Linked DNA regions of Schizosaccharomyces pombe. Changing the gene in region 1 together with any one later gene gives a genetic interaction. Each region holds a gene or a part of one and is shown in the gene's direction. Other genes may lie near its edges. The genes, in order: slx9, nup97, gpd3 and nic1.

Region 1 (6,424 bases):
TGCGATTGCTTTACCAAATAACCTCCATATGGGAAAACCCTCTAAAATTTGAATCTAGTCTAATCGTTGGGTTGTTTGCGCTTGTACAGGAAGTTGAGCGTTCTCCTTCATCAACTTATCGAAGTTTTATTTTGAGTCTTTTGCAAATGCTAGAATTTTTACTCTCTCGATTAGATGGGACTATAGATCTTTCCTCTGAACAGCATTATCTGTTGTCCAATTTTGTTTTGGTTGGAATGTTGAATGATGATCCAGGACTTTCGCCAAAGTGGCTACATGCTATAAAGAAGCTTTTACCTCTTCTTTTACAAAACCTTCAACTTTTGATGGTTAATCCCATTCAATCTTTGTGCAAATTTGTTCATTCATTTCTTGACCAACACGAGTCTATGTACCTAAAATACCCTGACCCAGTAAAAGATTATGCGTGCATGGATGTTTTTATTGCTAAGTTGAAAATGCTTAGCGAGTTAGTTTCAGCAGCCTTATTGGAATTCACATATTCACCCGGCCCCAAGAAAAGTAATTTAGAAGCCAATGGTATCATCGGAAATGTCATTTCTGGTGTGTTTGCAGCGGAGTCGTCAGGCGTTAGCATCGATGTCAACAAGAGATTATCTATGCTTTTAACTATGCAGGATGCTTTGCAAACATTATTTTTATCATATTCATGGCATATTCGGTCTTCATATGCTGATAAAACGTCAAAAGTATTTATGAATGATTCATCGGTTTTAAAAGAAGCATCCTTATCGGGATTAAAAGAGTTTTACTTCTGTGAACCTCTTGAATGCGTAGAAACGCTGGTACAAATCTATTTGGAGAACAATGTTGAGTGTTGCCAGTGTATATGGGATATATTTTCATTTCTTAGTGATTCTGAACCTCAGTACATTGTTAAGCAATTAGTTTCTTCTTTTTTTGCACGTGAAGGAATAGCTAGTTATGCAGGGCCTTCTAGTTTGACAGCAAAGATTACACAACTCGATATTTTATGCTGTATGTCTGACTTCGTCTCCAGAGTGGAGGGCGAAAACACATCTAAGATTTTTACGGAAATTTCAAAATTTGTTCGGGAGATTATTTCTTCCTCAAACAGCTTTAAAAACTATTTGCTGGTATGTTTACGAATGCTACTGGAAGTTGCAAAAAACGTGAACACTTATTGCGAATCTCGCCAGCAAAAAGACTTTATTGATTTGATGGGGAAAACATTGTCCTCAGTCTTATTTCATGCAGGAAAATCAAGTGATCCAAACCTAACTGTAGATTTTCTGGCGTATCATAAAGCTGCTGCAGACACGTTTGAGGTTGCCAAAACACAAAAGAAAACTAGCTCCGTGTATTTATTCGTAAAATACTTAGATCCCTCTTTGCTTGACTTTTTCTGTTCTGAGTTTGTTCCAAAAATAACCGAGCTTTCTAAGGAAGAAGATAAACTAGTTGCTTGGGCTACATCAATCGTCAATGTATTTATAACTCCTTTAGTAAAGGCTAGGACATTTCCGGAATCACTCACCACTTATCATTTGGACTTATTGCTCGTGTTGAGTAAACATCCGTTTTTGAGTAAATCATGGAGGCGCGATTTTTGGGAAATTTTTAATGATAATTCACTGTTCAGGTTCGATATTGATCAATTAAGAAAGCTTTCTCCAGTAATATACACAGCTTTGTACCAAGAGATATCTAGATTAAATGATCTCATAACAAAATCTGATTTAGGCGTTACTACTTTATTTACATCTCGGGATACTCAACTAGGTGCAAGGCAGAGCAACATATGTCGGATCACAATATTAATGTTATCTTCTCCACGTGATTTTTTCCTGCCTAGTCTTCCACCTCTGATTGACCTTGTCAAACGGCTTATAACGTCTGATCCTGAAGGAGTATTAAAAAAGGACCTGTTTTTATTTATTAGAGCTCTAGCTTTAAGGACCTCTTCGAAGCATTTGCTTCCATTATGGCCAATCGTTGTTAGCGAATTGTTGATCATTTTTAAATCTTACTGTATGCCAAATGTTGCCATTTCTAAAGAGACATTATTAGACGCATGCAGGCTTTTGGATTTTTTAACTGCACTCAAACTTGAAGAATTTGCGCTACATGAATGGGTTGTGATGCTTAGTCCACTAGATGCTGTCTATTGGAGCGGAAAAACTAGCCGTAAATCCCTCGTACAAAAGGTTTCTGAGCGACTTCAGGAGCAAGCATCGGAGAAGGACGACAAATCCAGTGTTGAATCCGAACATTCTATTCTTACTTCAACTACAAGAACCCCTTCTTTAGGCATTTACACAACGGACGCTCAATTAAGAAACTTTTTAAATCGCATTTCTATAGACGCTTATGAAGAAAGCTACTCGTTTTCAACAATCGACATACAATCTTTTGAAAATTCTATTTACAGGGAAGTTCTTCAAAGGTTTTCTAATGCTCCCCTATCTCCCTTTTCTTCAATTAAGGCTCCATCAAGCCTGGCTGGCTCCAGTAATTAATTCATAGTATTTTATATCGATTAGGAAGTCTAGGCTGTGTGGCTTCTTATGTAACTTCCAGTTACTCTAACCTAATTATTTTTGTATGTATTTTCTTTTCAAGTTTCAATGTTTATATTCGGAAAATGGCTATAGGGTTTAGTTTGCAAATACTTTAGGAACCATGTTGGACATTCATTTAAAACTGCTTTAATTTATAAAAATTGTTAATTAATGTTGTTTCTTAATTCATTGCACATAAGATGGAAATTAATGTAAGTTAAGTTTTTCATTTCAAATACTAATATTATGAAACCAACTTACGCAATCAAGGGCAGTCCGTTAAATCCGATGCCAATAGTTGTAGTGAATTTTTAAACCAGAAAGCACACCGAATATTCAAGATATTTCACTCCAATCGTAAATATTATTTTGGTTATATATCCTATTTAACATTTAAAACGATTTTTATCGATTGATTCACAATCAATTTTATTTTAGCATGGTATGTTCATCCATAGATAAACGTTTGGCTGACGACAACAGCCAAAAGCAAAAAAAAGAGTCAGTCTAGCGTCAAAAGCATCAAGTCGTTTACCGTCTTCTGGTAAACCTAGCCAACAAGCTAGTATTCCAAATGTCGAGTTATCTTCCACCGTTACTTCGAATAGTCAAGTGCTCAACAATGATCCGCTGAAAGAAACAAAGAAAGATAAACGGAAAGACCGTCATTTCAACTGGCAGCAAAAATTTTCTAATCCAAAAATATCTGCTTCGGCTCGTAAGCGCCGGAACCGTAAAGCCAGAGAAAACCTGAAAGTCAATGTGTCTTCGATTGGAGAAGTACTTCCAGAAATTGATCTTGATATTTCGGTAGCTAACTCCAGGTTGAAGCCCGTAATTAAGGATAGTTTATCTTCTAAACAAACTAAGAGTTCTATGAAACGAAATACCGTTGAGGAAATCGAAAGGTTCCAAGCCATATTGAAGCACCCTTCATTCGTTTCAAATCCTTTGGAAACGGTACGGGAGCACTTAGGAAACTCTTTGGATAGTAGATAAATAGAGCATGCTCATGTCTAGGTAAATTTGGAAGGAATTTGAGTACACTATAAATGCATGATTAATTTGGGGGGTTTTCTTTGGGAGGTTCTTTTCATACTTACTGATTATGTTTTTACAATAAAAAAGTCTACTGATCTAGTTTGTTATTCAGTATGCAAAAAGAGAGCTTGATTTATTTATTTATTATTAAATTCATGTTTTAAACTTTTGACTCAACAACTTAATCAGTAAAAGATGGTGAAATTTGTTCAAACCCATTACGATTCCCATGTAACAAATAAAAGTATATATCCATAATAAAATTTTAAGTAACTTTCTTACTTTAAGTAAACCCAATTCAGCGAGACGGTGCCATTGTGTTGCAAGTCCGCAAATGACAATGTACTTGCAATATTAAACCATTAGCGCAATAAAAGAATGAAAAACATATTATATGCCAAGCAAATAATAGAACGGTAAATTGATACGCCCTAAAGAAAGAAATTTTTTGAAAAGGTTGCAGATGTAATACCTACACATATGTGACAATAGTAACTTCAATCATTTCCATTTAATCTGGATGTATTGTCGGGATGTCACTACGATCACTTATGTTAACATAGGCCAATGATTTAGAAGCTTCGGCTTCTATCCGAAAAAAAACCCAAACACAACGTCGGAAAACTTCAAGAAATTGCATTATAAAGATCCCAAAGTCGGTGGTAAAAAACGCGGATTGATGTTCAGGCAAAACGCGAACTACCCAGGCCATTCGCAAAACAAAATCAATCGCACTTACAACTGCAAATGTGAATGTTGGGAATAAACGCCGAACCCCAAATTTCCAGTTTTGGATTGATAACGGTTGCTTAAAAAAGGGAAGACTCCAATCCATTGAAACATCCCACCAAAATGAATAAGTTGAATTTATAGCTGAAGAGGTATTCCATAAAAACCATAGAAAGCTAAATCTTTTCTTTGCAAAAATCCCAAGGAATATCGCTGGAAAAGCAGTGAAATACTTGATAGAATTCAATGTACTCCAAAATTTATCTGATGAATTATCCGCAGAGCTTCTTTCAATCAAACATTGACGAAATCGGATAGCGTATGGATACGCTGCAATCATTGACATAATAACCTCATTTTCATATTGTTTTCTATGAGAGTTATTAGGTGAGTCAGTTACGTAAATCAAGATTGCTCCAGCTAGCCAGAGATCAGCAATGACCCTCGAGTAAGAAGTCAATAAATCAGAAAATATAACATCGGGAAATTTGTAATCAGGTCTGTAGCTTCCTCCCAAAATCCTTAGACACTGTCGAGTAAACACCTTTCTCTGGAAGAACCAGAACTTATGTACAGGCATAAAAACAATAACACCAAAAATAAAAACGGGGACGTATGCCAATTCATCAGACCCAGAAATCAAATATAAGGATTCGGCTATTACGAAAAGTAGAGTACCTAATATAGATAGGGAGAATGACAATTGCCATAGAGGAGCATTAGCTTGCTGTGATCGATTGACAGGCAACGGAGTATGTAATAATGAGAACACGTCGACCCTATTTATCACTAATAGATGTAATATCAATGTGAAAGAATAAAGACCAAATACGACCAAGAAGAATAATCTCAATACTAGAGGAAAATAATTGATAAAGTGATTCAAATCCTCTATCAACGCCATATTAAATAAAAGGGAGAAAATCTGAAATAATATATTAAAATAAACTTGAATGCAATTATACAATGGATGAATTTTTACAAAGAGAGACGCAAACAGTGTAAAATATGTCGAGTCAAGTTGTACAGCCGATCTTCTAATTATGATGATAAAACTTGACTCATAAATAATGAAAATTATCAAATAAAGGGTTCTATGATGATAGAGATTAGCATTACTGCTTGAATGTCGAGAGGTGCGTTGTGGAAATGAATGCAATAGGGTACACCAAGGTAAAATCTTAAATACCACCACAGCCAAGAATCATGTTGGTCTCTACAAAGAATGGTGGGATTTTACAGTAAAACTTAAAACATGAAAAAGTAAGGTGAATTTTTAAATATATGACGAAACTTGTGTTATGCTGAATATTAATATTAAGCTGACAATGAGTGGTTTGGTTTAGTAGCATATAGATGATGCGAGTAGAGCAAATGGGTTACGCTTAAAGTAGTATAACAGATTTTGTTGAATGGAACATCAAACGAATCAGGTTAGAAAATGATCGTAGATAAATTTGATGGCTCAATCATCTGATAACCGTTCACACCTCAATTTACTAATTATGCTTGAACTCCTTAAAAAAGTCTTGAAGTTGATTCACAATCCTTTAATAATACAGATTGACGGTTTTCGAAAAATGGAGAGCAAATGCTTATTCATTACTTTAAAAATTTATCGGCGCATAGCGCTTGGAGAATGCCGAAAATATTTGAGTCCAAGCCAATTAAAGAATAACCATACGAAAAAAACCACTGTACAAGTCAGAATTAATATACATGGATAATAAGAACGAATAGGTGAAACCTGTTAAAAATATTAGAACCAAATTTGTACAAGATAGAGAAATTAAAACATATTGGTACAATGACCCTGGCAGAAAATATTCGACGATGCCATTGAGATTTTAGCATCATAACTTACATCGCCATCAACATAAAGTGGTATCTCAACAAAGTTAAATATAGTCATAAGTCCAAATACAAATAAAAACCAACAGGTAAATAGCAGTAAGTATCCATTAGATACCATCGAACCCATCATTTTAACCGTATTGATAGGTATCTTCAGGCACGTTTTAAACAAAATATGATGAGTAGTAATTTAATTATAACCAACGAAACCTAACTAAATACCTTTTATAAAGAATCTATACTAGTTGTACAAGAGC
Region 2 (9,250 bases), on another chromosome or scaffold:
CCTTAATAGAAATGGGACCAGCTCTTAAAGCCTTCATTACCTCTGCCTCCGTAATCAGATTAGAATCTAAAAGCACGTTAATAAATTTTCTGGTAAATGTAAAACTTTAGCATACCATCAATTGGAACATTTGTAGTATCTCCCACAACCTCCACTTGATCTCCTACACTCGTTTCTGTAGACCCCATGCTAGGGACCATACGGGGAAAGTCATTGGCAAACCGTGATAACTTTTCACTTGATAAGCGGAGAATTATATATCCAGGTTTGTTAATAAGTTGTTCTTGAGGCCTTATTTGAATAGAAGTATTAGGTGATTGTAGTTGCGATGAAGCTTTGACAGGAGATACGCTGCTTGGCGTTCGTTCTAGTGGTCTTGGTGTATTAGTTTTGGAAGCGTTCGCAGAAAATCTAGACTTTAGTTTTTCTTCACGCTTTTGCAATTCTTCTTCTTCTTGCAAAACTTCTTCTTCACTAGACGCATCATGGGAGGAAGCATAAGGGTCCTCATCTTCCTCATCACTCTCATAAGCTAAATTCTTTTCAAGCAATTTTAAGTATCTTTGCAGCTTTTTTCCTTCACGCGACATTTGTCTATCATTCTCCTCTTCAAGGTCGACATCTTGATCAGCTTCACCAAACAAATTGGCAGTTAGCATTTCCTTTTTAATCTTGTCTTTCAACTTCTTATTATCTTCTTCATTTCCTTCCATAATAGGTGCTTCTTCATCGTCAGCGAATTCCTCGTCATAATCTAGTTCATCATCACTTCCACTAGCTCTCGGTCCCGTTACAGGACGTGCATTTGGAACCGTCTTAAGTTTATACATGGGTGAAGCAGAGCCTGCCTCTGCTAAGTTTTCTTCACTCTCCTTTTTCATAAACCAGCGAGGAATCGGAGTTTTTTTATTCATCTAAATGGGTTAGACAAGACCTGATGGAAATAAGGACTGACCTTTGCCTCCGCTTCATCAATTGAAAGCGTTTGGAAATTGTTACGTTGATTAAATCGATAAAATCTATCAGTTGGAATCACCTTAAAACCATTTTCCTATAGAGTAAGCATAAAAAATCTTAAATGATCAAAAGATGAATGATAAACATCCAACATCTTCAAATGGGATAAAAACTTACAGAGAACATGAACAATACATATGCAGACGATTGGCCGCCTTCCATCGTACTAACCCATGTGTTTTTTCCTTCAAAATCTTCCATAATCCAAGGAGATAACTCCTCCTCTTGTAGTCTGCGGGCCTGTGGATCAACTTTGACGACCTGGCGAGTTTTCCTTTTAAAGGCATTCTGCTTCATGTTTTGAGCGCCACCGTAAGGAGCGATTGAAGCGATGTTCACGTTACTGGAGCTTCCTTGTTCTGCATTTTGTTCTCCGTTTGACGAAGATGGAGCATTGGGGTCTCTGCGTTGCATTTTTATGGGTGGCACAAAGGATTTGGAAGGATCAATGGCTTTGTTAGAGTGAAATTTTAATAAATGGTATTTAGTTGTTTTTCTTTCACTCTCTGGACACCATGAAAGCTGGAAATCCAAAAATTTTTGCTGCGATTGTGTCGAAGCATTATTTTGGGAGTCAGGCTCCTCAACTTTGGGTTTCTTCTCATCAGGATTTTCCTGCTTTACATTTTCAAAAACTTTTGTCTCTTGTGAATCCATGTTCTCCGATAAAATATGTCAATACTGATCTTCCGCCGGTGTTGGAAGGTAGCGAGTTAAGAAGCGCTCAGGTAAGAAAATATGCATTCAGCACATATGTCAAACGCCGACTATATTGCTAAAAAGTATTTACGAAAAGATCAAGGGAAAAAGAAAAAGAAGAAAGAGAAGGATTTTGTAGAAATTCAGGATGAAGATGTCGCTGGATGGGACGATGACAATTCATTTTCACTAGTCAACAGAGAACTCACATCTTTGCATGATGCCCCTACAATTGTCGCAAATGAAAGCCTTAAAGATCGAGATATTGATGCTATTTATCAGAATATAGAAAAAACTACTAATAAACCTGCTCAGTTGTGGAAAGCTGTGGGGAATGATGAAGTTGTCGAATCTGAACAACAGGATTCTCATGATGCTGAATCAATTCCTCAGTTCGGTCTGTTAACTGGAAAGCAGGTGACCTTTAAAGCTGAAGAAAGAAGAAAGAGAGAAGAGAAATCATCCAATCTTGATGAGGAAGAGCTTCGCAAAAGTCGCGAAACTGTTTACAGAGATGCCACAGGGAGAAGGATAGATCTGGTTCTTGCAAGAAAAGAAGCCAAAAGAAAATTAAAAGAGAAAGAGGAAGAAGCTAGAAGACAGAAGGAACAACAACAAGGTGTGGTTCAAGTGCGTCAACAGAAAGAATACCTAAAAGAACTTGAAAGGCAAAAAACGGTGCCATTGGCGCGTTATGAGGACGATCCTGAATACAATAAGGAATTGAAAGAAAGGTCTCGTTGGAATGACCCAGCTGCTTCGTTTCTCACTAATAAACCTGTATCATCAAAAGCTACTTATCAAGGATATGCGCCTCCCAATAGGTTTAATATACGACCTGGCCATCGTTGGGATGGAATTATTCGTGGTAATGGATTTGAAAATAAATGGTTTCAGCGCCAAAATGAGAGAAAGGCACAAGAACACGAGGCACATATGTGGGCAATTGAGGAGTAAGTAATCAGTTTTTGAATAAATCTCTAACGAAATCAGCATGTAAATATTTAACGATTTCATTATTTCTTCTGCTGAAAATGGAGGAGACTATTTGGTTTCATGTATATGATATTGTAATGCGAGTTGAACATAATCTCTTCTAGTTTACGAGTGTCAACCGAGGCACAATACTTGATTTTCCAGATTCTGTCCCATTTCCTTTAATTAACTAATGGCTTTGATATTTACCTACAAAAGCAAAACGCTTATAGCAAATAGCTTTATTGGGAAATCGCACACCACGAGACAATGGTAGCCTTATCTATACTAAAATATTTTTTGCTAGTTTATATATATTTATTTTTAAATTTCTGACGATTTCTTAATCCTATATTCAATTATGGGTCATTAAACGTATGAGTATGAGCGACCACGGCTGTTAGTAGTAAGAGGGTTTGAAATATCATCCATTCAGTTATTTCTCTAAATTCTGAACACTTTTTACCAATATTAAATATCATTTCCCTATTGCTGTCCCTAAGGGCCCAAATAATTCACTGCTGATTCTGTGAATTCATATGTATTGGCTTTTAAATGATAGTAAGAGCTAAACGAGAACAATCGATGTTTGAAAATAGTATTTTAAAATTTTTAATTTTATACTTTTTAAGCCCTTTCACATCCACATAGACAGACTTGACTTCACACTTGCTGTATACGTAAAGCAAAGCTTTTTGCATAAGAATTTGTAATTCCAACCGAGTACAAGGATGATTCAAATACTCTTTAACGTTTTACTGTTGACCTGTTTAGTATGAAATATTGTTTTTAACAATTAAGGTTCGGTGAACTCGGTGACTTCAATTTCCTTAGTTCACCGAGACAGATTCTCTCAAACGCATTGTGCTTGTTTACATCTTGACCATCGCCATGACGGTTGCGTCTGACGATTCACCAAAGGAAGCTAGAGGCATACCTTTTTTAGATCAAAAGTCTCGTAAACTTGCTAATGAGTTGTTGGAACCATGTCTTCCGTTTATCCAGTTCAATTTGGGTGAGATTGAACAACGCGCAAAACATTACTTGAACACCGTTCCTACTAGTAAGGATGGTAATACAAAAGCGTAAGTTATTTGTATCCTATTAGATATATTTGTCTAATGAACGATATAGCCATTATTTGCTTGCTGGAAGCGGTATTAATGCCGAACAAACATGGAAGAAAATTGAGTCGCTCTCTCTACAAGTAAGACCTCCCACTACTCTCGAGTTGTCCTTTACCGATGTAGATATGTTTTTGAAGTATCATCGAGAAAAAAATGTTTTAAATTCTTTGGAAGCATTGGTACAAAACACCCAAATAGCGTTCGATCAATATTTGGAAGAGGAATGGCGTTCCAAAGCTGCAAAAAGCAGACCCTCCTTTGATAATATTTTACTTGAAAATAAAAAGAGAGTATCCTTTTATCCTTTCTCGGTGCAACGTTCGCAGAAGTTTGCTTCCACTTTAAAAATGTGTCTTGAGGAGGAAGCACTGCACGGATTTCAATCAAAGCTTGTCAGTTCTTTTTGTGAGGTTGCAAGAGAATTTGCTCATGATACAAAGTCTCTTCTCCTTTACGAATCCTGGAAGTTACTTTCCTCTGTTATATTGGATAAGGATTCTGTGACAGTGTTTGGCAATAAAGGCATAATCTCAAAAGCCTTTGACATTGAGACTGAGGATGGCTCGGTTAACTCTCGGTTCTATCAAAGGATTTCTGACTGTTCCCGTAAGTTCCTTGAAGCTCAATTTTTTGAAGTTTTGAATAAGGAAATTGCAAAAACCCCCCAGGCTGCTTTGGTAGGCGGTGTTCCTTCAATACGTAACAAAATTCGAGCGTATTTGAACATTCGTCTATTAAGGAACGGTGTTTGGATTAATCCAGATTTAGAAATAATCCAAGATGTTCCTATATGGGCTTTCATATTCTATCTATTACGATGTGGTTTTTTAAAGGAAGCAGTGGACTTTACTGAAGAAAACAGAGATCTTTTTGAAAAGGTGGCTGAGAAATTTCCTTTTTATATCAATGCTTATGCGAAGGCTCCGAATGGTATTTTACCAAGGCAACTTCGGAGTCAATTGTTTTCTGAGTTTAATCAAACCATTCGTCTACAGGAATCTTCTGATCCTTATAAGTATGCAGTATACAAAATAATTGGACGCTGCGACCTTTCTAAAACTTCGTGTCCATCGATTTGTTCTGTCACTGAAGATTACATCTGGTTCCAGTTAATTTTGTCACGTGAATTTACTGAAAAAAGCGTTTCCGCTCACGAATTTTTTTCATTGGAAGATGTTCAACATATTTTGCTTTCGTATGGCTCCGATTATTTTACTAACAACGGATCTAATCCCGTTATGTACTTCTTTTTGTTAATGCTTTGTGGTCTTTACGAGCGTGCCATTAATTTTTTATATCCTTATTTTCCAACCGATGCAGTCCATTTTGCCATTACTTGCGCATACTACGGTCTGTTGCGCACTGCACCTTCTAGCTCAGTTGTCAGTAATGAACCTGGAAAGATTCAATCAATGCTGGTTGAAACAAAATCTGGGAAGCCTTCCCTTGAATTCGATCGGTTGTTAATCGATTATACCCAAACTTGTCAAGAATTAAGTCCTGTAATGTCTGCCTGTTATCTTATACCAATGTGCAAAATTGATAAATATATCTCGATGTGTCATAAATCTCTGTGCAGTTTGGTACTTTCTACTCGTGATTATGTTAATCTTCTTGGCGATATACGTGGTGATGGCGAGAGGACTCCTTCCTTTTTGGAGAATCACAGGTCTTTGATTGGTCTTTCTTCTGTAAAAGAATACTTATCAAAAATCACTCTTACTGCTGCTAAACAGGCTGATGATCAGGGATTATTATCTGATGCCATTCTTTTATATCATTTAGCTGAGGATTACGATGCGGCAGTAACAGTTATAAATAGACGGCTGGGCTCTGCATTGCTAAGGTTTTTGGACCAGTTTGTTTTTCCCGATAAACTTATATCTTTAACTAAAAGTATGATGGATGTATACAACAGAAACCCTTCTTTGTATGCCAAAGTGGATTACAAAAATCGCGAGACGACGAATTTGCTTTTATTGACTGTGGAGGCGTTCAATGCATATACCAATAAAGACTATGAACAAGCTTTATCGTCTTTACAGCAGTTAGAAATTTTACCCCTTGACCCACTTGACTCAGACTGTGAAACTTTTGTTGTGAGAAAACTTGCAAAAGAATTTCGATTTCTCAATGAAAATTTATTACAAAACGTACCTGGTATTGTTTTAATAGCCATGAACAGCCTTAAAGAACTTTATGCTAAACAAAAATCTTCATCTTTTGGAAATGACGCTATATCCGTGGATAAGTTACGCCTATATAGACAAAAAGCACGAAGAATTGTCATGTACAGTTTCCTGATAGAATATCGTATGCCTTCTCAAATTCTTGAACAGTTAAATCGCTGCGAAATAGAAATGACATGATTATTTTTTTAAGGTTGTTTATTCTATGTTTACTTGACTTCACTAAATTTTTATGCCTATACATTCATTGAGTCCTAATTATCCATCATTAAAAAAGTGTTGAATGCACTAGTCTTCATGTTAATAATAATAGCAATAAAGAGTGATCTTTGGTTTATCGTGCTAATTTCTAAACATCTCAGAGACACTTTTCCATTTAGTTTGTAGCTGAGCATGTTTTTCCTTGAGGTCATTTAGCTGCTTTAAAGTCTTTCCAAGTTCCTCATCAAGATATTGTATTTGTTGAATTGAAGTAGCATTGTTTTTAAGAAATTTTTGATTGCGCTGCTTAAGGATTGAGATTTCTTGAAGAAGCCTATTTTCCAATTCCTGAGGCTGTTTCTCTAATTGAGCTTTCAGATCAGCAGAATTATTTTTTAAAATTTCTGTAGCCTCCTCCATTTCGCTTCTTGTTACTCGATGGTTGGAAAGTGCTTCAGAAAGTTTAGTGTTTTCCTTATTCAACATAACCATTCCCTCCTCTAAATTAGTTATCTGAGAGGTTAAATAATCATTTTGATTTTTAAGTTCCTCTAAGTTATTTTGGCGATAGGTGTTGTGAGATACGGAGGTTTCGTGATATGAAAGATAGGATGGGAACTGAGTAGTATCGATGTTTAGAGCAAGTGAATCTTCAACCCATGCATTTAAGTCGACAGGAGTTCTTGTGTAAAATGTATACTTTTGGACCAGAGGCTGCCGATATGAAGCTAAAACGTCTGAGCGTAAATACTTAACCCACTGTTCATGAGAAACCATATTTACAATCTTGTCCCGATCCTTTAAAAAAATAGCAACAAGAAGACGCACAAACATTTCCAAGCCGTAGATAGCAATTAAATCCATAAGGCGGAGTGCTTCGGGTAATTGCAACGAATCGGCAAAGCAGCATGCTAATGATGGATATAGTATACACAATGAACTAACTTTTATACGTTGTAATGAGATAGCGACACTTGGTGCCAAGTCACCCAAACAACCCCAAACCAAAGCGAAAAGACTTTCGTCAAGAGAACTGGATTGGGATATGAAAAACTCACGAATTCCACCTCTTTGAATGAAACAAACTAGCGAACGGAAGGCGTTTCCTTGAGCCATATACGATAGAAAAGCACAAGTTAACCATAGCAAAGGTTCAATGTTATACTCAACAGTTGTATCAAACAAAGTAAAAGCATGCAAAACGTGAAATATAGACTCAGTTGAAACTTTATGCCTTGTAGTAGAAGAATATTTAAAAGGCTCCAAAGGTCCTCTGAAAGATTGCATACGAATAATCTTCCGAATAGAAGAATCCAAAGAATTATTAGTAGTACTTAAAGTAGCGTAAAGTGTTAGAAGTTCATTACGTTCAGCGGAAACAAGGGATTGCCAGACCAGTTTTCGACACGGAGATGGAATACAAAAGTTATTTTGTTTAATTAGTTCTAAAATCGGTGTCAAGGGAGGGGGAGAGGAGGATGTAGCATTGGGATTAGAAGGATCAGGCGGAAGGTCATAAGCAAAAAGAGGCACACTGGCCCATTGAAGCCAATCGATATTAGAAACGGGAATTGACTCTTTTTCACATTGTTGATTAAGCTCGAAAATGATTGATTGAATACGTGAATCGTTAATGGCGCTATTTAAATCGCCGTGAGACTTGTAGGAATCGCGTAATTGTTCAAATTCTGTTTGATTATTATTTATTTTGGAGGATGAAATATTGGTAGATGCAGTTGACATAAAGGATGGAACAGGGGAATGACCTTGAAGAGGTTGAATGTTAGGTTTTTCAACGGCCAAGCGATTATCGCTTTCCTGGGGAGGAGTGGGACGCAACATAGAAGAATCTATAAAATTAAGTTCCCGATCCTGTTCTTCCGTTTGCTGCAAACTAGGAGATGAGTAGTCTAAACTAATTTCCTTCATTGAGTGGTTTGAGGATTCCGAAGACCCAACTGAGACAGCAGAGCCATTTTGAAGGTTCTCCTTTAAGTTTTCTTGTTTCACCAATGTAACGCTATTAATTGCGCTAGATAGGGAAGCGTTTACAGATTTCTGGAGTATCAAGATTAGTTAGACACCTGAAATGATTGAAGTAGATAGATATTAGCAAAACATACAGACATAAAAAAGAGACCCTTATTAGTAAAAAATGCTAATCTGTTCAAACTAAAATTGTTTTCTCTCAAGCAACTGGAGAGGCCGGTAACCCAAGTATTGTTTACAAGTGAAATAGGCTTAGGAAACACGAATTAGTAATTATAAAGGGAAATGAAGATGCCCTCTTTATGAATTGAAAACGCTTTTAAAACAGATCAAACACTTTCGTTTCGTTCAGTAAATGTATGTATTGTGTGGGTGGTAGGTATCTGAAAGGATATAGGCGGCATCGATTACTACTTTAACAATGGCGAGCCACTTTCCTTTTCAGTAGTTCCCGTCAAATAGGAAGAATTTATTAGGTGATTTTGTAATACTTATAATTCTAGGTTTATTCGGTTTGTCAGTTAACTTGTTACAAGCAATTGTCCAAAATGAATTTACAAGTTAAATAAGAGAGAGGGTGATGAAAATTGAGATTGTTAATTTCTTTCAAAAATTTAAAATATAACTTTTCTTAATTGGACCTGCGTATATTCTCGTACTTGAAAAGAAGATACAGATTCGAAACGATTAAAGACATTTACGACATGCAAAGCGCTCGTGTCTAAGGATTGAAAAATTGTGAGCATTCAAAACCTTTTCTTACTATCTTAATGAACTTATTTTTTACTAAATATCGAAAGGATCAATGTGTGAAAACATCGTACCTTTGAACGTGCAAATGGGATTTTAAATTATAGCACTTTAAAGAACTTATAAAAATTGGACTCTTTATTTTTTGATTTTATAGCCTATTGATTTCAATAGTGATCATGAGAAGCGTATACATCTTTTGAAGACTACGCATTTTGGAAAAAACATATGCACACATCCAGTATCAAACAACAACAATATCTCAATGTAGAGTACAGTATTTATTAATCAATATTCCATAAT
Region 3 (7,059 bases), on another chromosome or scaffold:
TGTCGCTGTTGTAAAATTCTCATGAAAAAATAGAATGTCTAACCTTCACTACTGGCAAGATTCGTTCATGTAGATGTAGTTGAAGAAGAGACAGTGTCATACACAAACGTAGAAAAAGTTCTGAAAAGGAAAAAGACTCCTAGTAGATTATAATTCAAATCAAATCAAACCAATTAAATTCAATAGATCGATGTCTTGAAACATTAATTCCTATAAGGTTGAAAATAGTAGCAATATAACGCAAAAATAGCGAGTCGTAATAGCAAGTAAAATGGTAGTCATTATAAAGGGTTAACTGTATTTCAAGTATAAAGAACGGAGAAAGTTGGAGCAATGGCAATAACACATCGAGGAGTAATTTAGGAAAGTAGTGAGAAAGATGTTAGAAAGGAAATTTAGTAATTTGTAAGTAATGATTTCAGAACTTGGAACGTGAAAGGGAAAAAGATATTTTCATCATAAAGAAAAATTTGCCCATCGTGAAATAGAGAAATAGTGAGAAGAAAACCACCACCGAAATAGCGAGACCCGCAGTATGTTACTTCACGAGTCTCGCTATTTTAGGATTGCATAGGTTATCGGATGGAATCCAGTAAACAAATGGGTAAGGAAAAGTGCGATCAATGATGAGTGGGTTGGGTTACAAATCAATATAGTCAGGTGAAATTAATTCGTTTCTCGATATAAAAGCAATTGAGAAAGGAATTGGATAAAATTTACAGAGAATTAAAAAATGGAGACAAGAAATAAGTGAAATGGGAGTGAACGCTCTTGTAAAAAAGCTATTGAGACAAGTGAAACGGTGAGAGAATGCGTTGACAAATGTGAAAGAAAAGAGAAAAGGGAATGAATATTTATAACAAAAAAAGGTAACAGGATTATCGATGAATTTTGGGGAAAATTTATGTTGAATTGCATGACTTTTTAGAAATCACGCCTCGAATACCGTTAGACATATCATGGTAAACATGTGATTTAGGAATTGGCACATGTAAATGAGGTTGTTGGGTAGAGAGCGGATTTGAATGGTGGTAGATAATTTAGGGTAAATTTGGGATGGATAGAGTAAATGTGAAAATAGTATGTAGGATGGCGGGGGATGCGTGCGAAAGAAAAAGAACGATGCGAAATGAATTGTAAAGTATGTGACTTGGGATGATGCGAAAAAAAAAGAGTCTGGAATAAAATTTGAAGAAGAGAAGAAATACAGTAGGTGGGAGTGCAATGAATTGAATTGGAAGCGAGGAAGCGAACAAAATCGATGGATAACAAGTGAATGAACAACAAAGTGAATTTAGTTTAAAGTCAATTGCTTTGTTGAAAATCAATTTCCTCTGTTTTATCAAGTGTGCGAAGGACAAAGGGAGTAAGAAAGATTCAAAAAAAAAAAAGAAAAGAAAAAGAGGAATTCCTTTTATGAGACATCCAGTTTGTTTGCGAGAACGCCAAGAACTCAAGCGAATATGGAGAGACGACGGTGAAACACGGTATGTTGCATAGTGTAGTGCGGGGTGGATTGCAAGGAGAATGGGTAAATTAGCAAGCGAGCTGGACCCCATTACTGTGATGCATGAGGTAACGCAATGTGCTAAAATGTTTTGGAAAGAATGACACTCTACGTTAGGATAGTGCACGTTGTTGACACTGCTCGTTATGGAGGACAAGGAAGAAACTAGTTCGGCCGTTTGAAGGGAATGGGAATGGGAATTGAATGAAGAAAGAATGGATTGAAGTAGTCAATTGATTAAAAACTCATATTTTTTTGTGTTACTCATTGACCTTTATGAAGACAACAATTCTGGGTTTCCATTGCTTACAGTGTGTTTCCATAGAGCAAAGTTCTTTTTTGATGGCTTTGTTTTTACGTTGCATTACTGTGTTATTCCTCACTCTCTGTATGTGAGTCTCGCGCTGTTTCAGCTGCTTCCTCCTGCTTCCTTCGGTTCCTTTTCCTTTCTTATCGGACGGTGGCCCGCCAAAATTAATTTCGCCTACATAAAAAGTGACGCAATAGAAACTCTCGGAACCAGTATGGACTTGAGGATGAGCGCATCCCGGACCTTGAAAGGATCCTCGTCGATGGTTGATTCGTCAGCTCATTCACATAAGGTTTCTCTAGAAGGTGAATTAGGGTTCTTTCAATCCGAATCCGCCAACCATCACAAGACCTTGTAACCGCCCCGGAAACTCAAATTGTCCCAACTGCCGATCAATTTTTTCCGAAGAAACAGCTTACGATTAACCGAAGGAACGTCCTGGGCAGTCAAGCGCAGAGGAACATAGTGCAAAGCGTCGTAGTTCAGTATAGTCGGACAGCAGAGTATTGTTGAACTCGATAAAGTAGGGGGGGAGAGAGAGAGAGAAAAAGGAGTGGAAAGTGGTAGTAGGTAAATGAGAGATGTCAATAGAAAGCAAAAACTTTATACAATAACAATCTCAACATCAACGATTTTCCTTTTCCAACTGAATCTCTTTTCCAAACTGTGCACTGTAAACAATTGTTCTATATCTTCTCCTTGTTATTCTATGTCTTCTCCTTCATGTTCCACGTCTAACCCGCTCCCTTCCTACCTTTTCGCTACCCTCCTACCCTCCTACCCTCCTCCATCCTCCCTCACAAACAGATGATGTTAACGAGACTTTGCACCTCGTTATTCCCGAGGAGCCGCTGGGATGCCATGAGCCTTGCTAATAGCCCTGTTAGCACGGTCAAACAAAATCATGCAATTCAATGCAAGAATCGTCAGCCTAACAACAGCTAACTGGGCCAACCCTCTAAACATTCCATTCCATCTAGGCATTGGAAACGCCATTCCAAGGGCGGATTGATGGATGATGGAAGGGACGAGACTGACACACACAGCAGATATACTCGATGACTATTAGTGAAGTGAGTCGATGAATAGTGAAGTAAATGAACATTTTTATAGAATCAATAGAAATGGATTGAATCCAATTGCATTCGAAATTTCACAGTTGACTTGGATTTACCACTTGTCTCATTTCTCCCACTTGTCCTCTTGATTACTATGCTATGCTATGCTATGCTATTCTCTTCTCTTCTTCTTTCCTCTACACTCATTGTTTACATTTCTTTTTCTTTTCCACCGCCATCCCAACTCATCCATTCCATGCCATTCCATCCTTGCCTCTCTCGTTCCTGTCAAGCGAGGCGAGGGAAAGGTCAACGCAATGCGTCGATTGTTGTATGATTATGAGCCAAAAATATTCGCATGGGAAGTTATCTAGAAGGCCGCTAATTTCATTATCCGATCTGCCAAGTACCGAACACGGAAATCGCCGCTTACGATACCGTCGTTGGCATGACAACTCTAGCGTAAACACATACAATATAAATAGGAGTGGTAGGCCAGTCTGCTTCTTTGTAGTATCAAGAAATCAGCAATAGTACTTGTTTGGTTTTGAGAAATAGCAATCGAATTAATTAGGTATGTGATGCGCTGTGGCATTGGCAAAGCATTGGCTTGGTGAGACATGTGACATGTGTCAAACACCTGCCAAGAGGGAAAAATAGATTGAGGAAAAGGAAGGGATATTTTCTTTTGATATTCTCTTTTAGTTGAAAAAGATGGATTTTGAGCGATGAATTGAAATGAAAATGGTCAGTGAGATTGCCAAGAGAAGAGGCTCTCTGATTTTACTTGACATGACGAAAACATGTCATATCCAGTATGGTGAAATTGTACAACGAAGTCGTGATAAGATTCGTTAGTTTCCGTTTCTTTCGGTAAAGAAGGCTTTATTTTTCGCTTGACGGCAGTTTGGTCAGAAATTAAAATAGACTTGCCGAAAGCGACAAAGCTGCTGTTTTTAGTATACTTTCTTTTCTATTCTTCTCTCAATAATGATATCTTTTCTTTTAATGACGCTCATCGTTTCTTCTTCTTCTTCTCTTCGCTTTCTTCCCTCTCTCGCTTCTTTTTGCCTTTTTCTCTCCTCTTTGATCTCTTCTTCTTACTAACTCTTTTCAGATAACAATGGCAATTCCTAAAGTTGGTATCAACGGTTTCGGTCGTATTGGCCGTATCGTCCTCCGTAACGCCATCCTCACTGGCAAGATCCAAGTTGTCGCTGTCAACGATCCTTTCATCGATCTTGACTACATGGCATATATGTTCAAGTACGACTCTACCCACGGTCGCTTTGAGGGCTCCGTTGAGACCAAGGGTGGCAAGCTTGTCATCGACGGTCACTCCATCGATGTCCACAACGAGCGTGACCCCGCCAACATCAAGTGGTCTGCCTCTGGTGCTGAGTACGTTATTGAGTCCACTGGTGTCTTCACTACCAAGGAGACTGCCTCTGCTCACTTGAAGGGTGGTGCCAAGCGTGTCATCATCTCTGCTCCTTCCAAGGATGCTCCCATGTTCGTCGTCGGTGTTAACTTGGAGAAGTTCAACCCCTCCGAGAAGGTTATCTCCAACGCCTCTTGCACCACCAACTGTTTGGCTCCCCTTGCCAAGGTCATCAACGACACCTTCGGTATTGAAGAGGGTCTCATGACCACTGTTCACGCTACCACTGCCACCCAAAAGACCGTTGACGGTCCCTCTAAGAAGGACTGGCGTGGTGGTCGTGGCGCCAGCGCCAACATCATCCCCTCCTCCACTGGTGCCGCCAAGGCCGTCGGTAAGGTTATTCCCGCTCTTAACGGTAAGCTTACCGGTATGGCTTTCCGTGTCCCTACCCCCGATGTTTCCGTTGTTGACTTGACCGTCAAGTTGGCCAAGCCTACCAACTACGAGGACATCAAGGCTGCTATCAAGGCTGCCTCTGAGGGTCCCATGAAGGGTGTGTTGGGTTACACCGAGGACTCTGTTGTCTCCACCGACTTCTGTGGTGACAACCACTCCTCCATCTTCGATGCCTCTGCCGGTATCCAACTTTCTCCTCAATTCGTCAAGCTCGTCTCTTGGTACGATAACGAATGGGGTTACTCCCACCGTGTTGTTGACTTGGTTGCCTACACTGCTTCCAAGGATTAGATTGCTTCTTTCGATTTATTCCGTCGTCAATCTATATCTCTCTAATCAGCCGTTGTTAAACTCCAAGCTATTCAACTGAACATGCGTTCGGTTTTGGGGGGTCTTACATATGTGCGAACTTTTGGTTTTTTATTCTTATGCTTGTTTTCCCCCTTTTCCTTTTCTGGGGTTTGCTACGATAATGATAGACATGTATGAGATTTTCCTCTTTTATTCCACGTTATCATTTTGATTGCGCTCCTAGGGCGATCTCTATAGCTGACGACCTTTCTACGAAATAGATTAAGATATAATTTTAAATGAATTGTTTTTTCTTCACTTGTTTTTAATGTGTAAAAAATCCGTAAAGTATGTGGTGTATGAAAATTTTGATTTGAAATGTGGTAGTTTATTGGAGGTAAAAAAGGTAGACTGATTTATAAAGCATTATATAGTTATCATAGTTGCTTGTTAGCATTCTATTACCGTTTGCATTTGAGATAATTGTTTTCGTCTTGATGATAGATATTCGCTAAGATGTTTCCATAAACTTGGCCCACGCTTTTTTGGGTGAAGTAAATAATTTTTCAGTCCTTTTGAGGGCCTCTGCTGCCTATCTTTACTGCCCCTATTTGCAAGTTTCTAGAATGGAAGTGTAAGTCAAACGATAAGAAAAATTATATATTAATAGATAGCAATTTAAATTTAGCATTTTCATTCTTAGTGTTCGTTCACTCCACTTTCCAGATCAATCTCAGACCATCAAGTATGATGATGAAAGCGAGTGTTCCATTTAGGCGGTTCTCGCAACTCTTAATGTTTGATACTTAGAGCTGTTTGTGCTTCAGAAAATTATTCAAAAAATTTCATGCTTGCATTTGATTCTTTTCTGGATAACAGCTAATCCTGTTTTTTGTATTTTGTCCTTTGGTTTTTTGATACCGCATTGCTAGTCACATGTACCCTCATAAAAAATACAGTTATATCTAAGCGAGAAACAATCGCTCGATTGCGAGGCTCATCTATGGAACTGTTTATACTTGTGTCTCATGTTCCAATAGCTTGAAAGTGTGTTTAAGCATGAGATTGTTATTTAAATTATCAATTCATATAGTAACAATATCTGCTTTGGTGCCAAACATTTGAATTCCTTACGAACTAATAATAAGATTGCTTCTCAGATTTCTCAGTGGAATACTTCCATTAGTAACTGCACCATGGGAGTTTGAAAGCTGCTGTCTTTCCTTAAATTACAATAGTCCGTGTAGAAGATGAGTTTTTGGTTCGTTCAATATGTGACTACTTGTTCACCTATCTTTCGCTTCGGCTCGTACTCTACTTTTCAACGCCTGCTACTTGGCTGAACCTCTTAGTAAGTAACGGATGTAGAACGGTTCTTACCAAAGCCAACGTCTCTCTAATCGACATTTATTTCAAAATTCTATCAGTGGAGAGTATATATTGAGGTTTATAGCTTTTACGGGCCTCGAAAACCTCGTGTAGTAAAATTTGAAATTGTTGGGAGAAGTATGACCTTAAATCCTTCGACTCTCAACAATGGAACTCTTGGGGACCTGAAAGAGCACAAGGATGTCGTCTTGTCTAGCAATGCGCAGACCGATGAGAAACGTTTCGAAGAACCGTCGCTAGAGGTGGGAGGATCGTTAGCGAAAGTGGAAAATGGCCTTTCCACATCAATTTCATCATCTGCAAGCAATTTGGAGGGACAGCAAGCTCCTTTCTTTACTAAGCAAAATTCGTGCTTGTCACGCTTTCGTGAGCTAGCTCAGACTTACAACATACACGAAATTAATCTCGAGGAGTACGTTTCCCAGATAAAAGAGGTTAAACAATCTCTGTACTCCGACGATAGCGTATTTAATGAATCCAAAAGTTCTTCACCTCCAGATGCTCATACTGATAAATATTTCACTCCATGTGGATCCCCTACTAAGCTGATACACTCGACACTATTGGAAGAGAGAGATACTCCGTCCTCCCTAGAACATGTTAGCTTTTACCTTCAAGAAAGCGCAGTATCAGAAGTTCGGTTTGATAAACCTTCAAACAATGG
Region 4 (8,967 bases), on another chromosome or scaffold:
TGAAGGGTGCCATATACAACAAGGAATCAAAATTTATGTTACATAACGGATTGACCAACGCACAAAATCACCTATATGGGGGGCAATTCCAGTAGGAGACCACCATGAGATGGTGCCAAAGTATGACACAACAAAAGGACGCATGGTGAACATTAAAACACCTTAAAAAGTGTCGCCGAATGTTTTGAAGTCGTAGATGATTCAAGATAAAAGTTCTTATACAACAAATAAATTACATACAGCCATATCAAATAACTTCTGGAACAGATAACAAATACATCGATCATATCCAAAGCTTTAGAGGATCTCATAAGCTTTCTGTACAAAATCTTCAAAACAATCTGGTAAGCCTTGGATCAATACAAGCCTGTCATAGTCATAGCTATGAAATTACGCTTTATTAGTCGCCATACTCCAAAACCAAATACGGCCAAATAAGCACTAGACGTTCCAAAAAAAACATCGAAAGACTCCTTAATGTCCTTTTAATTCCATGGGGTAAATTAACCAAGGTAGTTGTAATTAGAAGGCTTTGTCCACCAAAAAGAATGCGGTACCAAAAGCTGAACTCACAATGAGCAGTGTAAGAGCACAATGCATGGGGGAACAATCGGAGGGTTGTGGTTTCATTAGGTGTACCCAATAAACGGAGGTCGGAAAAAATTTGAAAATTAATACTAGAGGGCTGTAATACAAAGCATTATTTGAATAAGCAGCGTTACGCATGTCATGGATTTGACACTTGTCATCTAACCAAACCTTAAGGCCAGCAGGTGATAGGTGATCCTTCCTTAGTTAGAGGTCTTGAGACAAAGCAAAAAAGTCTTTCTTTCTTTTCTTTAACTGATAGAAAATGACCTGGATAGGTAAAATCAGTGGATAATGCAAAAGTACGAACGGACTCCCCATTATACAGGAATGGACCAATCAACTGATCTCTTTCAGAAAAGGAAATGAATAGGGACGCAGACAGTCTACCATTTTGCTCAAAGATTTGAGGACAATAGTGCTTTAAGACAACCCACATTCCGAACTGCTGATCCCATTCTGCGGCATTTTAATGAGTAATGGCTGTACTTCCACCGGACTTTCGAATATTGTAAGAGAATACACATTGTCTGTTCGTTTGCATACATCAATTGACAATTATTCGAAGTTGAAGACTATCATTGTCCAACTTAACCTTCTCAAAAGAATTTGCCAAAGCCAAAAGAGCCATTTGAGCATCCGCTTCTACTCTAGTTAACTTAAATAGTGTTTAACAACTAGCAAGGATCAAACCTCCTATAATGCTTAAAAAACTTCGCATGCTGTTTAGTCTTGATTAAAAAAGGTAATTAACGAATGTTTAAATTGACGACGCTTACCCTTGTAGTGCTCGCCTCGCTACATTAAGATACACAGCAGTTTGTTAAGTGTTTAAAAGATTAATTACGAATGCAAATCTTACTAGGGCTCATTATCCTACAAATGAAAGGTTCTTTGCTTATTCGAATTTAAAAAAAAAACTTGAAGTTTATAAGGCTAAAGATTATAAAAATATTAATTGAGTGATTTTACAAGTACATAATCGGTTATTGGGAATATGCGGTAGACGACATTATAAATATTGCTTAGAGTCACTAAAACAGCAAAATACTTTCACATATTCTAAATTTAATCAAAAAGTCAATATACCTGACTGTTATTGTAAAAGATAAATTCAGAAAATAGTTGAATATATTGATCGTTAGAAAAATAGTGTGAAACAAATTTAATCTCGCATTTTTTTACCTAACAAATAGAGACGAAAGTGCATTTATCTAATTTACGTTTCAATATTGAAATTCTTACAGTCTACTCATTATTTCCTCATTAAAAGATCGACTTGGCACTGAAAACAAATGAACCGCCGATATCCTATATTGTTACAAAGCATATGCTTATTTGAAAATTTCACAAATTTTATTGGGTATCCAATCTATGTGGGCATAATTAAATGTACATAGCAATGTAAAAATCTCTCTTAAGTTATCTCAAAAAATGAAGCTTTTCCGAATATTGAAAATTGAAAACAAGATAGAAAATATAATTTTAAACAAATGGGGCCAGATATTGCCATTGTTTTGACCTAATCTTCAATGACGACACTAAACTTATTAAAAGAAGAAACTGAAATCCTCTTAATGAACTGGGGGATTACAAGACTTGAATCATTGGTCAAATAAATGATTCACCGACCATGCAGTAATGCGAAATATAAAGAACAATGTCGTCTTTCCTAAAACGATGAAGAAGGAAAGTAAAGATGTTCCAAATATTTACAACCATAGGAAGTAACCAAAAGAGGGTAGCCAGTGAAAAAGTTTTTATACTTTTTCGGGTAACCAAATTACTAATACAATAACATGCTTTTGGGTAGGAAAGCTAGTCATCATATTAATAAAAGTAAATGATGATAATGATAAACATAATCACAAAGAACAAACGATAACTTGTAAAATCAAGATTTGTATCGTTGTTTTATCACGCTGTATTTTGTTGAATTTTAATTCATTACGGAAACGTGCTTGATGACACTCATAACCGCATTTAACCTTTTGTTTAAGATATGGATACTGACAACCTCTAAAGATACTGGTTTATTTGTTTTCCCATTTTTCAAGCTAAAATCCTGAAAAATGTTTAGCTGTATGAATGGAAGTGAGGTTATGAATTTCAATTGACAAAATAGTCTCAATATATAGTCGGGTTTGTTTACATTTACTCATTTTTAGTCTTTATTCATGGACCCAATCGGAAAACGTTTGATGTTTACCTCTCAGTTAACAACCTATAATACACCGTTACGACACCACATCAAACTTTATGCATCGTTTATGCGGTGTGAGATCCAATTAACTTCTTCCTTTGTTTATTCATCTTTTAAATGCAAAGTTTATGCTTCAAAAGGCGATATTCAATTGGTTTGTTGTATCAATGCGATAAAATAATTGTTTGTTTACATTTTTGTAGACAAATCAGACGAATACGGTGTTGTATGACATTAGCGTTATGTAATTTATATGTAAGCTACGCAGTTTGGTATCTGATTTAAAGATACGTAGAACTGCGGTGAGTTTTCCTTGTGATCTATTATATTACAATACACAGGTTGTATAAGTAGCAACTGAGTATAGGTATTGTATTAACTGGGTTATAATGTTACCTATCACTAATATAGCTCATAACTGAACTGAGGAACGAGGTTCAGCAGTAGCTCTATTTATAGTATTCAGATAATATTGATCTTAATAGATTATCATTAAGATCAATCTCCATATCGTATCATACATGGTACGATATATAATTAGAACATGTGACATATAGTGATACTCAACGTAGTGTATCATAGCGTAGTGTAGTATTGCTGACAATAAACACGTTTAAGCATCACCGCCATATCGGTCGTTGCTGCTTACGAGATGAATCTGCGACACGTGAATTAAATATGACTTTGATAGGTTGCACTACAGCAGTATCCTTCATGATCGCTTTGATTTTACCCTTTGAAATCACCTGCTCATCTTTTCTACACTCTGCACTATTCAATTCTTTTACCATTGTGTTGAGGATAGGAACTTTGTGAGTCAACCAAGTTCGTTTCTCACAAACTCAAGCGATTTACTTCCTTTAAAGTAAACTACTACAGTGCGTTGCAGAACTGTTGTGATATTAGGTAAAATTGTTATTATTATTGGAATCCTAAGTGGATACAGGTTTATGTGAACGCAATCTATTCAAATTACGCGTTTATTTGTATGAACAGTATGTCTGAATATGTTAAACCTAGAAAAAATGAATTTCTAAGGAAGTTTGAGAATTTTTATTTCGAAATACCCTTTCTATCAAAGCTTCCACCAAAGGTTAGCGTGCCTATCTTTTCTTTGATATCGGTAAATATCGTAGTTTGGATAGTTGCGGCAATAGTCATCAGTTTAGTTAACAGATCGTTATTTCTCTCAGTTTTATTATCTTGGACACTTGGTTTAAGACACGCTCTCGATGCTGATCATATTACTGCAATTGACAACTTAACGCGCCGTTTATTATCAACAGACAAACCAATGTCAACAGTTGGAACTTGGTTCAGCATTGGTCATTCAACTGTAGTCCTTATAACTTGCATCGTAGTAGCAGCTACTTCCAGTAAGTTTGCAGATCGATGGAATAACTTTCAAACCATAGGAGGAATAATTGGAACTTCAGTTAGCATGGGACTATTACTTTTGTTGGCAATTGGAAATACCGTTTTACTAGTCCGGTTATCGTATTGGCTTTGGATGTATCGCAAATCTGGTGTCACTAAAGATGAAGGGGTCACCGGATTCTTAGCTCGAAAAATGCAGAGATTGTTTAGATTGGTTGACTCTCCGTGGAAGATTTATGTACTTGGTTTTGTTTTCGGATTGGGATTTGATACCAGTACTGAGGTTTCCTTGTTGGGTATCGCAACCTTGCAAGCCTTAAAAGGAACATCTATATGGGCAATCTTACTTTTCCCCATTGTATTTCTTGTTGGAATGTGCTTAGTTGATACCACAGATGGAGCATTAATGTATTATGCTTACTCATATTCTTCGGGTGAAACCAATCCTTATTTCTCTAGGCTTTATTACTCCATAATTTTAACATTTGTTTCGGTTATAGCAGCATTTACAATTGGTATCATTCAAATGCTTATGCTAATCATAAGTGTCCACCCAATGGAAAGTACATTTTGGAATGGCCTCAATAGATTATCTGATAATTACGAAATAGTCGGTGGATGTATATGCGGTGCCTTTGTTCTAGCAGGTTTGTTTGGTATTTCCATGCATAATTACTTTAAGAAAAAATTTACACCTCCAGTGCAAGTAGGAAATGACAGAGAGGACGAAGTTCTAGAGAAAAATAAAGAATTAGAAAACGTATCAAAAAACTCGATTTCTGTTCAAATTTCCGAAAGTGAAAAGGTGAGTTACGATACAGTGGATTCTAAGGTTTGAACGACTGGGAATTTCTGTTTCCTTTTTTTTTCTTCAGTATTCTCGATTTGTTCTCTTAACCTGTTGCTTGGGTTAAAAGTCTTTATGCCTTTATCATGATGAAATAGAAACTCGGTTCGATATTGATGATTTGAATAAGCAGACGAGCCACATACATTCGTTTGAGGTCATATAGGTTAAACAGTTGCTAGTAGCAATTTATTTGTGTGAAAAAAGAAAGGCAAGCAAAATGTGAAAAATTTATTCTTTACATATTTTACATGATAACAAAAAATCCTCCTTGGGCCTGGCTTTATGATTCGGGCAAAATACCAGGGCTGTATTTTTTTTAAAAAAATACTGTGTATCGGCATTAGCACTTTGCTTACTCAACTTTTGGAGGCTTGAAAATGCAGGTTTATTCAATATAACATACGGGTCAAATATATTACCCGATGTATTCTAGAATACTTTTATAAAATTCTTGACAAAGAATTGATTTCATTGGGTGATTCATTCATTGCTTGACTATTTGATTAGTAAACTGTCGAAGAAAAAGTTGAATTAGTTTCTTCCATTTCTGAGATTCGAACATTCTTCAAATTTTTTATATAAAATAAAAAATGAGAAATTCATGAGTTCGACTAATTTTGTGGGATTTGTTTCTGTTTTTTTAATTCATCAAATGTCTCTTTAAATCCATCAAAGGTATCATAGTAATCAGTGTAACCAAGCTTCCTGGCTTTGCTCATTGAGGATATAACGTTGTACGTCCTGCCGAACAAAAAATCACAAAACGCCCAAGTCCCAACTTCTAAAGCATGAGCATTGAGTTTTTCTCTTTCTGCGATTGTCCTCCAAGCGTCTTGGACTTTCTTTTGCTTGACCCATTGTTGAAGCGATATTTGGTTTATTATTTTACTATTGGGGGTATGTTTAATGCCGAGCTCTTTTTCGTACAGATTTATGGGAGAAGGTGTACTTAAAGTAACTTCTGTACTTAATGTAAAATCCGTTGCAAATTGGTTTTTTGGTACCTCGACCCCAAAATATTCGGCTATTTTAGGCCAAGTTCTTGACCAACTGTGAATATCTCCGTTTACAATGTTGAATTTCTCTTCACTGCATTCTGCTTTAAATGTCATCCATAATTGAAAATCAGCAATTAGCTTTGAATACGAGATATCATCGAAGCCGAGATAGAACTTTTCATTTCCTGGAAATCGGAACGGTTCATGAAGCTCCCTGCAAACCAAAGCATATAATGCTATAGTGAATGCTTCATTCATGTAGCTTCCTTTTGATACTCCGCAAATATCATTCGGCATAGCTATGGTGTAGTCCCATTTTTTACCGTTACTAAATTCTTTAAGAATATCTTCTTGAACGTAGTAAAAATTTGGAGTTCCACTAAATGTTTCAGGTACTCGTATGTCTGTCTCAATCATTGGCAAACGAACTTCTCCTAAATGTAATCCATAAAATTTTAGACCAGTGGTTAGAATTACGCGTCTCAAAGTTTGAATGGAAGTAAGTTCTAATGCTTGCACAAAGTTTCTCAACATGTTACCGTTAACTTCACACAACTTTTCTTCATTATTTTCTTCTTTATAAGCTGCAAAGTATGCATAATTTATTCCCTTAACCCCCTCGAGAGAAAACTTTTTTGCAATATCTTTGGGTTCTTCATTTAGCAGATCTATGGAATGATGCTTGATTTTTCTAGGGTATTCATCTTTCAACGAACGAGAAATACAGTGTATAGTTTTGCAATTATCATCCTCTGACAGTCTCTTAATAATAGCTGCACCATTTAATCCTGTTGCCCCAGTCACTATAGCCACGTAACCTTCTTCTGCCATTGTGTTTCTAACTTTGAATATCTTTTAAGAAATCTCGCATATATGAAATATATATATATATATATATATATATATATATATATAGCATTTATGCTTTAATTTATACCCAAATTTTATGATCTCATTCACTTTTGCTATATCACTAGTAACATCATCCATACTATAGACTTGTTCTAGTTTGTGAAATTCACAATAGCTAGTGAACACATGTCGGTGTGATAATAACAGTATGATGTTGCAAGTATGTATGGTCATATTTGATTGAGGTATGAAATACAAAAGGTATTTTAATAATGCTGACTATATGTAGGGACGCTGTTAGAGCTTAGCAAGCAAGTTGAATACAGAGAAATCGAGGCACCATTGCAGTGATGCCCCTTGCGACTGATGGAAAAACATAACAATGAATATTTATCTAATTGTTTTAGAACACCTGACTATAAACTGTTAACTTTATGGGAAGGTTGCTTGGAAGGTTGCTTGGTTGGATGGTTAAAAGTCATTTTTGAAACCTCACAAGCTGTTCGTAATTAGTTCAAAAACTAACAATCTAAAATAAAAAGGAAATAATAAATAAATCCAATAAAATCCAGCTACTAACAAAAACAATAAATTGTTCCACTATTAACTCTCGCTATTCTAGAAATTTAAGTGTCATTAATATTGGTCTTTAAAGCTCAAGTTGCTATTTACAACCGTCTCTTAGTCATCGAAATAAAACTAATGATCGATCTTTGAAGCCATCAATTATACGCTTTCATCAATGTCGAATTCATCAAGGCATTTAGCAGGTAGAGTAAAAAAAGAATCGTTACAAAAATGGATGGTTCATGTCTTGCGAAGAGATTGTGAAACTTTTATGGCAGCCTCCGCTGTAGATTTAGCACTCATTGGATTCACACCTGTTACAATTCTTCCATCTACCTGAGTGAAATCGGACATCGGGGTAGGCGGGTCAACGAACTCTGCACCGGCTTCTCTAAACAAGCTGTTCAGATCTTGCATGTTCCTTTCTCTCAAAGCACTTGATACACCCATTACAAGCTCTCCAGTACTATTGAAGGCGGTAACCTTCTTACCATATACGACGGAACGTCCTTCTGGTGACTTGGTGTCATCTACAAAAGGCAGCATAACTGGACCGTGGCAGACGGCAGCAAGTACACCATTGCTTGCATAAATTTGTTGAGCAAGCGTTTGCAAATTTGTGGCATGTGGTAGATCAAACATGGCTGCATGACCTCCTGCAATAAACATGATACAGAACTCTTTGTAGTTAATTTTATCGGCAGGCTTAATATCCTTCAGCGCATACCAAAACTCATTATCCTTGTTGTCAAAAGCATCCCTCTCCACTTCACCCAAGGCAGATTTTTTGATTGAATGGTCGTCGAATTTACATTTTCCTGTTTCTGAAGTTAGTTGAACTTCATAACCCGCTTCTCTGAAAACTTGATAGGGAATCAAAAGTTCCGCAAAGTGAACTCCAGTATTCATTCCATCTGGATAAAATGGTCCATAGTAACTGCTTGCCACGAGAAGTACTTTTCCTTCTGATGCCATGGTGTATAATGAATGGGTGATCTTTGCAGCTTCACCTCAATAAATAACAAATTTTAAAAAAACATCACTTAATTGCAAAAGCGGGATGAATTTCCATTACGACTACTCACGTAATCTATTTACCAGGTTCTTGGATTTCTATAGAAAGAGTGACGAGGGCATTGTGTCAATATGATGTTAAATTCATCTTAAAATCAGATGGATACGTTTGAATCTAAAGTGGTTTCGGCACAATTCTATTCTATTGTGTAGAAGGACATTGCGATCGCTACTGAGAAAATGCAAATCTCTTTGTATTGTTTAGTGTATAAGTTTCATCTTGATTTGAGAGATTTGCTTCAAGGACTTTTTGCTAGTTTCAATTATCATCATGATTTTCCTCATACGTTTTAGGATTGTGAGCGATGCGTAATTAAAATTTCGTAGTCTATGATTGTGAACGGAAATTTTTTAAAGTACTTTATTACTATATGAACATACCAAGCTAGAATGTTGCTCGTTTCAAAAGACAACTGTAAATTTGATCTATTCAATTGGAGTTTATTGAATATTCAGAT

The links.
Region 2: mutations in slx9 (region 1) and nup97 together harm fitness more than expected from each alone (negative genetic interaction), as found in Schizosaccharomyces pombe (one large-scale study listed by BioGRID).
Region 3: mutations in slx9 (region 1) and gpd3 together harm fitness more than expected from each alone (negative genetic interaction), as found in Schizosaccharomyces pombe (one large-scale study listed by BioGRID).
Region 4: mutations in slx9 (region 1) and nic1 together harm fitness less than expected from each alone (positive genetic interaction), as found in Schizosaccharomyces pombe (one large-scale study listed by BioGRID).

Annotation. Positions count from the first base shown.
Region 1 is NC_003424.3:495,189-501,612, forward strand, and holds slx9 (ribosome biogenesis protein), read left to right. Parts: upstream 1-2,868; 5' UTR 2,869-2,982; coding exon 2,983-2,985; exon of another isoform or gene 2,986-3,026; coding exon 3,027-3,542; 3' UTR 3,543-3,839; downstream 3,840-6,424. Other genes in the region: dop1 (family protein DOPEY), read left to right, coding at 1-2,501; erd1 (EXS domain-containing protein), read right to left, coding at 4,096-5,217; SPOM_SPAC227.19C (uncharacterized protein), read right to left, coding at 5,929-6,060, 6,178-6,297.
Region 2 is NC_003421.2:2,161,450-2,170,699, forward strand, and holds nup97 (nuclear pore complex component nup97), read left to right. Parts: upstream 1-3,571; 5' UTR 3,572-3,582; coding exon 3,583-3,776; exon of another isoform or gene 3,777-3,825; coding exon 3,826-6,187; 3' UTR 6,188-6,349; downstream 6,350-9,250. Other genes in the region: transcription factor TFIIF complex alpha subunit Tfg1, read right to left, coding at 1-66, 116-914, 956-1,051, 1,135-1,674; protein Cwf26, read left to right, coding at 1,771-2,669, 2,710-2,716; SPOM_SPCC1620.12C (GTPase-activating protein), read right to left, coding at 6,350-8,266, 8,332-8,337. UniProt on the Schizosaccharomyces pombe protein: Has a role in meiosis.
Region 3 is NC_003423.3:574,733-581,791, forward strand, and holds gpd3 (glyceraldehyde 3-phosphate dehydrogenase Gpd3), read left to right. Parts: upstream 1-3,384; 5' UTR 3,385-3,449; intron 3,450-3,992; 5' UTR 3,993-3,998; coding exon 3,999-5,006; 3' UTR 5,007-5,324; downstream 5,325-7,059. Other genes in the region: Rho-type GTPase-activating protein Rga6, read left to right, coding at 6,515-7,059.
Region 4 is NC_003421.2:40,066-49,032, forward strand, and holds nic1 (plasma membrane NiCoT heavy metal ion transmembrane transporter Nic1), read left to right. Parts: upstream 1-3,477; 5' UTR 3,478-3,779; coding exon 3,780-5,006; 3' UTR 5,007-5,629; coding exon of another isoform or gene 5,630-6,847; 3' UTR 6,848-6,920; downstream 6,921-8,967. Other genes in the region: SPOM_SPCC757.02C (epimarase), read right to left, coding at 5,630-6,847; glyoxylase III Hsp3101, read right to left, coding at 7,676-8,410.